Ovis aries: one gene and its partners. The protein of the gene in region 3 purifies or fractionates together with the protein of the main gene of each other region. This does not show direct contact. Links are inferred from orthologs where the notes say so. Each region holds a gene or a part of one and is shown on either strand. Other genes may lie near its edges.

Evidence for each region. Proteins that work in one complex are often made in the same cells at the same time.
Region 1: the proteins of DNAJC7 (region 3) and PLD2 purify together in Homo sapiens (affinity purification with mass spectrometry; 3 studies listed by BioGRID and IntAct, counting the BioPlex papers as one, with this or other methods). This does not show direct contact. The link is inferred for Ovis aries from reciprocal best matches to the Homo sapiens genes DNAJC7 and PLD2.
Region 2: the proteins of DNAJC7 (region 3) and STIP1 purify together in Homo sapiens (affinity purification with mass spectrometry; 4 studies listed by BioGRID and IntAct, with this or other methods). This does not show direct contact. The link is inferred for Ovis aries from reciprocal best matches to the Homo sapiens genes DNAJC7 and STIP1.

What each region holds. Positions count from the first base shown.
Region 1 is NC_056064.1:26,431,824-26,435,568, forward strand, and holds the start of PLD2 (phospholipase D2), read right to left. Parts: upstream 2,206-3,745; 5' UTR 2,134-2,205; intron 1,595-2,133; 5' UTR 1,594-1,594; coding exon 1,485-1,593; intron 1,399-1,484; coding exon 1,268-1,398; intron 1,166-1,267; coding exon 1,023-1,165; intron 587-1,022; coding exon 481-586; intron 389-480; coding exon 323-388; intron 203-322; coding exon 144-202; intron 1-143.
Region 2 is NC_056074.1:38,944,589-38,948,333, reverse strand, and holds the start of STIP1 (stress-induced-phosphoprotein 1), read right to left. Parts: upstream 2,715-3,745; 5' UTR 1,889-2,714; coding exon 1,712-1,888; intron 1-1,711. UniProt on the Homo sapiens protein: Acts as a co-chaperone for HSP90AA1. Mediates the association of the molecular chaperones HSPA8/HSC70 and HSP90.
Region 3 is NC_056064.1:41,897,086-41,900,830, forward strand, and holds the start of DNAJC7 (dnaJ homolog subfamily C member 7), read right to left. Parts: upstream 2,824-3,745; 5' UTR 2,809-2,823; coding exon 2,732-2,808; exon of another isoform or gene 1,524-2,731; intron 1-1,523. UniProt on the Homo sapiens protein: Acts as a co-chaperone regulating the molecular chaperones HSP70 and HSP90 in folding of steroid receptors, such as the glucocorticoid receptor and the progesterone receptor.

The DNA of each region.
Region 1 (3,745 bases), about 15 Mb from region 3:
AGAGGCGCTGGAGAGGGATCCAGGGTTCAAACCTGTGGGGATAAAATCAGACTCCCAGCCCACCCTGCCCTGCTTTCCCTATTCTCGGGGAGGGAGAGATTCAGACATTGGCAGACGGTGGGTGAAAAGTGTCAGACACTCACAATCCTTTGCATCCAAGGTCTGGGATAAAGGACAGCTGACTGACTTCCAGGAACTCTGTCTGCAGAGGAAGAAAAAGGCTCAGAGGAGAGACTCGTTGTCAGTCCCTCAAATCCTACCAACCCTGGTCCTCTGCCCCCTGATTTATCTCAAGGGACCCGGCGCCAGCCCCTGACCTTACCATGGCATGGTAGTTGCGATAGAAAGACATGGTCAGGAGGCGGTTGAGATAATTCTCCAGGTATTTCTGAAGTGAAGGGATGGGAGACAGAAAGACGGATGGGACCAGAGCCATTTGCACCCAAACACCTTCCCAGAGGACCTGGTGTCTGGTCCTACCTGCTTGCTAGAGGTACGTCTGGAGGAGCCCTCAGGACCTGCTCGGGGTAGAGAGGGTATCTCTCTGCTGTCTCCCTCTGGGGCTGGAGATGAAGCAACAGCAAAACTGTGGAAGGGATGAGGGAGGGTCAATAGGAGCTGGAGGCTCAGTGCCTGGGATCCTGAAGCACTGGAGGCGGGGACTTGGAAAAGGCGAGGAGACCTAGAGGGTAGCAGCAGGAATGCCCCCTACCCTGAGGATGGAGACAGAAAAAGGTGGGAGGCTGCCAAGGGCACTTTGGGCATCCAGCCCAGCTGAGATACTGGCCCAGAACCACAGACAGGCAGAGCTGAACAGGGAAGGTTTCCTGGTAACTGGGGTCAGAGGAGGTAGAGGGAGCCCAGTGGCCAGAGTTGGGGGAGGAAAGTAGCTGGGGTAGGGTCAGCTGTGGCCTGGGGATGAGACAGGCAGAAAGCAGCGATGGGGGCTGGGGCAGACACCCCCGGCTGCCTCGAGGTGAGGGGCATCTGTCCTACACAGGAGGCAGCCTTATCCCCCTCACCGAGCCAGAGGGAGCAGACTCATGAAGACTTTATGTCTCAGGAGGTCCCGATGCAGCTCCTGGAAATGACGGAACTTCTTCTTGGTTGTCCAGGTGAAGTCACCGTGAGTCAGGCGCACAGAATACAGAGTGCAGGTGCCCACCTGTGGGAGGGAGGAACTGAATGGATGTTCCCTGGTGGGAAGGCAGCCCCTCACTCTGGCCAGCCCTCCCCATCCCCACTCCCTTGGGGCCAGCCCAGCCACCTTGGATCCACTGGTGTATCTTTCAGTGCCCACCACCTGAGCTATGACGGGGACCCCAGGGGCAAACAGCAAGGGGTGCGTTTTCAGAGGCTGGAGGTGGTAGATGGCCAGAAAGGGGTGCATCCGGTCGGCTGGTGGGAAAGAAAGTGGAAGAATGTGGACTCCAGGAGGTCTCAGCCCTCCTCCTCCTCTCCCGGAGACCGTCCTCCCTGTGTACCTGGGTCCTCTCCCTCCTTCAGGGTGTCCACCTCATCGGGCTCCATCTGTAACTGGCTGGAGTCCAGGTCATCCCCAGAGGGGAAAAGGCTCCGGGGGGTTGCCGCCATCCTGGGAATATGGGGAGGCCTCAGAACGGTGATCCGCTCTGCAGAACTCTATCCCCCCATTCCACCCCCACGGTCCTCGGTCGCCCCAGGTCCCCCGCTTTCCCCCACCCGGCTCCCGCTGACTTAATCTCTCTTTGATTAGAATCCATCGGTCCGCACTGCCCTGCCAATTCGCCTCTAATCTCCATCCCCTATCTCTGATCCTTCATCCAAAACTTCCGAGCCCCGCCTCCTGTCCCTTAATCAGGATGCCAAGGAACAACCGGCCAGGCCCGGATGGGCCCCGAAGCGGGGCAGAGGAAGGGGCCCCGGGAGGGTTGCAAGGGGTCCGGAGCCGCCGGGTCTCCAGACAGGCCAAGCCAGCTGGAAGAAGGGGTCCAGGCAGGAATGAGGAAGTTAAGCGTTCCCCGCCCAGGAAAGAAACCCCGAAATCTGAGCATGCGGCTGAGTCATGAGGCCCCGCAGCCCAAGCGCATTCCTGTCCCAGCCAGATCTCCTGGGCCCGGGATCTCCGTGGCGCCCCCTTCCCGGCCCCCTCACCGGGACAGCCCGAGCGGGCGGCGGCGCGTCTTCGCGAGCGGAGCAGAGCCGGAGCTGGAGTCCACACCCCACAGGGCCAGGGCGGAGCGGGCGCTCAGGGCCTGCCCTCGGGGGCGTGACGGGCCCCCGGCCTCACCTCCGCGTGATTCTCGTCTGTCCTGTCCCGCCTCCGCCGCCCTCGGCCCGCCCCGGCGTCCTGCGCGCAGTCGGGACGCGGGGCCGCCGTCAGCTCTACTGGACCGCGCCGCCCGCTTCTCGCATCCGTGCGGCGCCGTCCGCCTGGCTGTCCGTCTGTCCCGCGCCGTCGGTCCGCGCGGGCCCGGACTGTGCCCTGTGGGCGTTCAGCGACCTTCCTCCACTCGGGCGCCAGCACCCAGGGTCGTCTCCGGCCGCTCCTGGCGGGACGCGCCTCCGGGGCCGGGACCTGGCAGTACTCATTTCTAGGGCGGGCTGCGAACCACATCGGGCCGGCTTAGCCAGCGTTTGTAGAAGAAAGGAATGATAAAAGGCCGGAGAGGTGGTGCCCACAGATTCATTAACGTGCGCAACTTTGCTTTCTTTCATTCATTCACTGTTTATTGCGTCCTTGCGCGTCGCCAGACTCCGAGCCTACAGTCATGAACAAGACTAACACGAACTGCTCTTCTAAATCTAGCAGTCTAGGGGCAAACAGGAAAAATTTCAGATTCTAAAAGACAAAATATTTCATTTTTTTCAAAGCAGATTCCTTTATCTCTTCTAGATGGAAGAATGGGTTGATGGACATTTCTTGATGGCATTTTGGGTTGTTTCTAGCTTTTGTCTATTGTGAATAAAGCTCCTATAGGAAGCATCACTACAAACAAAGCTAGTGGAGGTAATGGAATTCCAGTTGAGCTGTTTCACATCCTCAAAGATGATGCTGTGAAAGTGCTGCACTCAATATGCCAGCAAATTTGGAAAACTCAGCAGCGGCCACAGGACTGGAAAAGGAGACAGTTTTCATTCCAATCCCAAAGAAAGGCAGTGCCAAAGAATGCTCAAACTACTGCACAATTGCACTCATCTCACACACTAGTAAAGTGATGCTTAAAATTCTCCAAGCCAGGCTTAAGCAATACATGAACTTCCAGATATTCAAGCTGGTTTTGGAAAAGGCAGAGGAACCAGAGATCAAATTGCCAACATCCGCTGGATCATCGAAAAAGCAAGAGAGTTCCAGGAAAATATCTATTTCTGCTTTATTAACTATGCCAAAGCATTTGATTGTGTGGATCACAATCAACTGTGGAAAATTCTTCAACAGATGGGAATACCAGACCACCTGACCTGCCTTTTGAGAAACCTGTTTGCAGGTCAGGAAGTAACAGTTAGAACTGGACATGGAACAACAGACTGGTTCCAAATAGGAAAAGGAGTATGTCAAGGCTGTATATTGTCACCCTGCTTATTTAACTTCTATGGCGAGTACATCATGAGAAACGCTGGGCTGGAAGAAGCACAAGCTGGAATCAAGATTGCTGGGAGAAATATCAATAACCTCAGAAATGCAGATGACACCACCCTTATGGCAGAAAGTGAAGAACTAAAGAGCCTCTTGATGAAAGTGAAAAAGGAGAGTGAAGAAGTTGGC
Region 2 (3,745 bases), on a different chromosome or scaffold from region 3:
ATGCGACTTGGCGACTAAGCAAGATGATTGTGTGCTAAAAATTTGTGCGTGCATTTGAACTGATAAAATAAATTTATATCAACTGACACATAATTTTTCCAGTTCTATGCCTGCCTGTATGTGGTCAAATTTTAAGTTTTATCACTGTGAGATTTTATTTGAAAGGTACTTAAGTTTAAAAAAACAATTTTACACACTCAAAATTTCTCCAATTTGAGTTATTTCCTAAAACTGAAACATGCATCTAAGAGGGAAAGAAAGGTTACATGTTGAATGGATGCAGGACAGTGGGTTTCAGCACACCTGGCCATCTTGCACAATGGCCCTGGTAAACATGCAGTCCCTGAGCTCACTCACTCGGTCTACCTGCATGTACACTTCTACTATGGGCAACTGGGATAAAACAAAATTTTTTTCCCGTATTTTGATAACTTCAGTTTGAGATCTCTGCTTGAATTTAAAACCAGTTTCTTGTCTATATCACAGCCTATTCAATCCCAGACACAATTTAGTTATCATGAGGGTGCAAAATGTTTAAACTCTCACTTTCCACTCTTAATTTTTTAAAAATTTAGCAAAGAAGCTCCACATTTGGCTAAAGGGAGCAATAGGTATACAAAGGTAAAAGATTCCGTTTTGTAGATCACACCAATAAAAACTCCGAGCTGTTCCTCCTCCTCTCCCCAATCAACCATTACAGCCCAATAACAGGTTCCAATTCAATAAACCTCTCTAGGCGTCTCACAACCCTCAGGCCACAGAGGACACAATTAACTCACAGAGAGTAACCCACAACAGCCTCAAACTCAGCCTCCCAATAACGCTGAAAGGAATCAAACAACTTACTTCTCGCTGCTTAACTATATACTTTAAATTTTCTAACGCAACTAACTCCTCCTCGTGCAATTAAAAACCCACGTTTTAGAAGAACCAGTCCTCGGTTAATTCTTGAATCACACACACAAAGAAAAAACGAAGACGGGGAGGTGCTGCACATACGATTTGTAAAACCCTGGCAGAGATGAAATTCATTCCAAGGACTTCTGTTGCACCCTCTCCTTTCCCGAATCAAGCTAAGAAGTCGGCCTGCTGCTCATCATACCTTCACTCAACACTCTTCCACCCCGGCCTGCCATGCAGAGAAATAGGGTTTCCCCGCAACTGGTTACCGAGTCCATCAGCTACTTGCAGTGTAATCCCGTCCCCGCGTTCCTCCAAGTTAACTGGGGCCAAGTCCTGGGTAACAACCTCTTTGCAATCTCTGATCTCTCTCCCAAAAGACGAATTCCCAGAGGTTGACCTGATCCCTCTCGCCCTTCGCAAGGCCCCTCGCCCACCTCCAGCCCTCCGAACGCCGCGGGCGCCATCCCCTTGCTCAGCCTGGACCCACGTCCTGGGAGGCCTCAGGGGCCCAGCCGCGGCTCCTCTTCCCGCCGCGGGCCAGACTTAAGCCGAACCGGTGCGTCCCCCGGCCCATCTCGCCGAGTTGACTGGCGACGGGCACTGAGGCGACCCCGCGCTCCCCGCCGCCAGGCCTCGCTCCCCGTCCGCCCGCCGCGGCCCTCACGCCCTCGCCCTCCCCGCGGTTCCGCCGACCCCGGCCCCCGCCCCGGCCACAACAATCGGGCGCCCGCCCCGCCCCTCCACCCACCGCCCGGCTTTGGCGGGTCCCAGAGCGGCCACGGGCCTCTGCCCGCCCCTCCCCCTTCACCTGCTCCATAGCCCGGTCCGGAACCCCGTTGAATAGACTCCGTCGGCTCCGCGTTCCCAACCGCACGCGCCGCCTTCTGGAACCTACTAGAAGCTGCCGGGACCCCCAGATCCCGCCTCTTCCTCGCCGGCTCACTGGTCGCTTTCCTCTAGGGGGCTTTCTAAGGTTTCCTACCATTGGCTCGAAGTCTAGCCCATCATCTTTGCTTCTCTCTCATTGGACAGTGGGGAGAGTCCTGCCTCCCCCGCGTTTCGAGACTGGACGTTGCTCTGAAAGCCCCACCCATCATATACTCTATGATTGGAGGGAGGGGCGGACCTCTGCGGCACCGATTGGTCATTTATCCCGCCAATCATGGCCGCGCTGGCCGCGCCCATTGGTTCTGTTCTTTCTGGAAATTTCCACCTCTCCCATTGGGCTGACAGACTCCGTGACAGAACCGCCTTCAGATTTAAAAAAATTTCAATTGGTCGGTGGTTGCAGACACTTTGCTCTGGTAGGTTTAAATTGCTGCCCTTCAAAGAGCAGGGTAGGCTTTTTACAGCATCGGTGGCTTATGGGAGTCCGAGGCCACAGACACCCTCTGCAGTGGTGGTTTCTGAGGGTGTGGGTTTGGTGGGTCCGCCCGGGCCGCTTCTTCCGTTGGTCTGCGGCGAGTCAGTCTGAAGCAGTTCGCTTCTCTCCGGCGGCATTGAGTCTTGGTCCTTCGCCGGAGTGTCAGGGTCCCAGCCAGTGGGGGTGACCGTTTGGATCGGCCTCGGGAGCGCACCCTGGCCCGTCCCTGAGTCCCAATATTGGGTTCTGGGTGTCCCCAAATCCCGCGTGATGGTGAAGGCGCTGGGGCTCGGGTAGGACAGGCTCTGAATTATATCTTGGCCAATCTCCTCGGTGGAGACGCACACCCTCGCTGAACCTCTCAGGTAGAGGGCCGTGGCGTGGGATCGTTCACATTCGTGCAGTAGAGTTTTTAGCAGTTAATGAAGGGGCTCTGCCTCCGTTATTCGGAGGTAAAGGGATGAAGGAAACAAAAGACCTCACTGAGGTGCTTGATCACCTACTGGAGGGCGGCGGCGGCGTCCTGGGCGGTTCTTAAAATTGTTGCCCTCTTGCGAAAGGCAGGACAGGTACTTGCAGAGAAACAGAAAGGGCTAGAGCGTCAGAGAGAAATGATCTCATTCTGGGCCAGTGCGTGGTTCACGGAACAAAGGCCCTGTATGTCTGGGGTCTAGAGGGAGCTTGAGTGAGGGTCTTAGGCACTGCTGTGCTCGCCCCACCTCCCCACCCCCAGCTGGGTAATGCCATCCCTTCCCTGTGTTTTAGCTGCCCTTTATGCCAATAGGTTGTCACAGGGTCCTCTTCCATCCCAGCTCTGTGACCCCTTTCTCAGACATTGCAACCTAGGTCGCTGCAGATCGCATGCCTCCCTTGATAACCCCCTCCCTTGCTTGGACCTTTGGAAGCTTTAGACGGGATCAGGGCCTACCTGACGGGCCTACTTTTCCCATCTGTTCTTTGCCTGTCCTCCACCTTCAGCACCAAACTCCAGGCGCACTCTCGTCTGTTCCTTGAGCTACGTGGGCTCCTTTATTTTGGGCCTGCCTGCAAGATGTTTCCTCTGCTGGCATCCCCCTTCCACCAACTCTACCAGGTCTTGCAGGCTGATAAGAGTTGTCAAGGTTCTCTGGCGATCTGCTTGCAAACAGCTCACTCATTTCTGTCCACCAATTCATTTGCTGTCACTACTCCATGGGCCAGGCGTGTCCAATTACAGCAGCAACTTTGGTATACATGCGTGGCATATTTTGTAGGGCCTACAAGGGCCTTGTGTCTATTTCTGTTTATATCCTTGTCTTCCAGGTAGGTTACACAGTGTCTTGCACCTAGCTTAATTAATCAAATATGCCCTGTAGTGTTTTAGGTATAATGTGGGCACTGGGGAAGTGCAGTGAGGAATTAAAAAAATCACTGTTTTGTAGTGCTCATTTTAGTAAGAGAGATAAGCTCAAAAAAAAAAAAAAAAAAAGTTTGCACGTA
Region 3 (3,745 bases):
CAACACAAACTTGGCCAAATAACTAACCAAGTCAGATAGTAAAGGGCATTTGTAAGAGACATACCTATTCCTGCCCTCTGCTGTGAATACACAGGAGGACTCCAGAATACATAAAAAATGCGAAACCATTTTCCTCAAAACCTCTAAGTCACCACTCCATTTTCAGCATTGGAAATCTACATATAAACAAGGCTTTTTCTCACTAACAGAGTCCAATATTTACCCCCCTAAGGATGTTCTACAAGACACAAAGTGAAACTGTGATATTTTTGCTTATTTCATTATATTTTCCTTTTGACTTTTTTAATGTGATAGACAGTAAACATTTATATTTTATTATGTTTTAAAAAGATCTAAAAAAAATAAAAATAAGAAGATCTATATGTTTAACATACAAGTCTATTTCATAAGGATGCTTTTTTGTTTTTTTCTTGCTGCTGCTGCTGCTAAGTCGCTTCAGTCATGTCCAACTCTGTGCGACCCCAGAGACGGCAGCCCACCAGGCTCCCGCGTCCCTGGGATTCTCCAGGCAAGAACACTGGACTGGGTTGCCATTTCCTTCTCCAATGCATGAAAGTGAAAAGTGAAAGTGAAGTCGCTCAGTCGTGTCCGACTCTTAGCGACCCCATGGACTGCAGCCCACCAGGCTCCTCCATCCATGGGATTTTCCAGGCAAGAGTACTGGAGTGGGGTGCCATTGCCTTTTTTTTCTTAGTGGTAGCTAAAACAACCATGTATTTTACACTCAATGAAATCTTGAACTCCATGAAATAAGGCAGTTAACGTGAGTTAACACCTTTCCTTATTCTGTTAACTGCCTGCAAATATCGTGTTTTTGTGTGTATGATGGGGGTCCCCAGGCAGTGCAGTGGTAAAGAATCTGCCTGCCAAGGCAGGAGATGCAGGTTCGATCCCTGGGTCAGGAAGACTGCCTGGAGGAGGAAATGGCAACCCACTCCAGTATTCTTGCCTGGAAAATTCCATGGACAGAGGAGCCTGGTGAGCTATAGTCTGTGGGGTCAGACTGAGCAGACAAGTGCTATCACCTGGTCACATTACAGCAGCACCTGTTTTACCTTTTCTTATGATAGAGTATCGGAGAAGGCAAAAGCACCCCACTCCAGTACTCTTGCCTGGAAAATCCCATGGATGGAGGAGCCTGGAAGGCTGCAGTCCATGGGGTCGCTGAGGGTAGGACACAACTGAGCGACTTCACTTTCACTTTTCATTTTCATGCACTGGAGAAGGAAATGGCAACCTACTCCAGTGTTCTTGCCTGGGGAATCCCAGGGACGGCAGAGCCTGGTGGGCTGCTGTCGATGGGGTCGCAGAGTCAGACACGACTGAAGTGACTTAGCAGCATGATAGAATATCCTCTAAGGCTGAAACTTTTTTTTAAGGGAAAAGATTTGGTTTACACAGGGGCTTTGATGTGAAACTCAAATTAGGGACAGTGCCTACATCAGAAATTTATACTGAATTCACTTTAAATTACATATAGTCCATCCCAGGGACCTACTAACCTGCAAATTACATTTTGTCAAGGTTCTCAGCTCCCAACAAGTCAGGAACTTGAGACAATTGGCTGCAGTAACCACCTTTAAGCTAGTTAACTATTCATTCTGCCTCCTTGAGTACTTCTTGTTTCAAATCTGGATAGTTAAAAAGAAAAAAAAAAAATCTCGGAATCCTGATTTCAGATCTCATGAACTAACCACCACCTCAAACCACCCAGACTGAAGCCAGAATGGCCTTGATATAAAGATAAGAAATATGTGGGAAAGAGACTGTGGAACTGTAGTCAATTAACTCGCAGTTTATAAAGAAAGGGCTACAAACTTCCAGAAGCTTTTTGTTAATTCTGCTCCATATTCAGGACAAGTATGACTATCCACAACTGTGTTCCAGCCCCACTTCCAATAACCTGCCTTAGCTGTAGCCAAAATCCAGAGTGTTCTCGAAAACCACTCACTCAGCAGCTCCCTTGGCTGGTCCGGACTGGCAATCTCGAGCCACTGCGGCTGCCCAGCAGCGCCAACAGCCCAAGCAGCTGCCCTCCTCCTTGCTGCTTAACTTAAAAAACAGCCCTGGGAAGAATGAGGATCTTTGGAAGGGTGGAGGGAGAGGGTTTGACGTGTACAGCATGAGACAAAACCCCTCACCCTTCTTTTTCTTTCTCTATCACCTTCCACTTCTGGGGTAACCGAAGGGCCACCAGGTCGATCATAGAGACACACACAGTCACCTCGGGCCCAACTAGTGCTCGCTGGGCTACGATTACGAAGGAAAGGGGTGAGGACAGCCAAAGCTCTGGAGATGCAAAGGGCTGATAGACAACAAGGTACAGAAATTAACAAGAGAAGAAATTAACAAGAGAAGGAGGGAGTCGGGGGCGGTGTAAGAAGCCAGCATTATTGCGGTGCCGCCTCCTCCGCCCCGCAAAAGACCTCCAAGATCCCCTCAGAGACCTGGCCTCTACAACGAGAACGACCTTCCTCTCTGCTTGGGGTACAAGGCCATACCTCAGCTCCTCAGCAAGGCGGAAGCGGGAGAGGAGGGCAAACCTCCAAGAGCGCCCCTTCAGGGGGTCCATCCGGACTTAATCTCAGATTGGGGGGGGGTCTCGGAGGGCGGGGCATCGCCTCTACAGGGGTTGCACCACAGCAAGGACGGGGTTCCCGGAGCCATGGAGCTGAAGCTCGCCTCTTCCCCTACCCTGCCACCCAGTTACCTCTTCGCCTCCTCGTCGTCTAGCAGCTCTGGCTCGGTCGCCGCCATTACCACATCGCACTCAGCGGCAGCCGCCATCTTACCGCCGGGACCAAAGAGCCGGGTGGGAGGTCGGCGGTGAAGAGCACTTCCGGTCGGAGCATCGAGCAGCTCACCGGCGCTGCGCCCAGAGGGGCTCCTTCGGGCCGGTCTACCAGCGAGAGGCTCCGCTTCGGGCCAGAGCGGCCTCCCGCCCCCGGAGGCCCAGGGTGGTCTCCGCGCCGGGGCGGGGGGCCAAGGACGGTTCCTGTGCGTAGGGGGCGCCACTTTACCCGTGGGGGCCGAAGAGGGTATAAGAGGGTGTCGCCTCTCTAGGCTTCGGCTTTCCTCAGTATTCCGAGAGCTTCGTTGCCATAACAACTTCCAATCCTAGAGCGTCTCTGGTGATGCTCCGGGAGTCTGAGTTGGGTACGGACGCGGTGACCCAGGACTCTGGAGATAAAGAGCCCCCCCCCTACTAATACCTTCCCGACCTTTGAGTATGTCCACAGCCGCCTCCTGCGAAAGGCAAGAAGAGACACTTTGAATCCAGTTTTCCTAGTGTTCAACGGCCCCTGGAAGCCCTGCCCAACCAAGCCTGGGGAACGCAGGGCGTCTTCGCACCGCGCCTTTCATCCCCTCTGGACCTCCAAGTACCAACTGGTTCCTCACCCTAATGACGCTGACCCTTTTATGAGGCTGCTTTCATGTCAGCCGCCTGGGAGTGCCATCTCAGCATTAAGCCTAGGGAGGGTGACACAGAGCCCCAGACCCTGCCCTGGAGTTTATAAGGCAGCTCGCAGGGTGAGGTCCCTGTTCCACAGTGTCCCCAGTGCTCCCAACCCTCATATAAACTCCCTGCTCAGCACGCTTGTTTTGCCGAATGCAATCTGGATTGGGAACTCAGACAGGGCAAGGACACAGCTTAATTTTCGTAGCCCTTCACCCAGACCAATAATTTTTGTGGACCTGACTTAAATTGGGGTTTGAGAGTCCC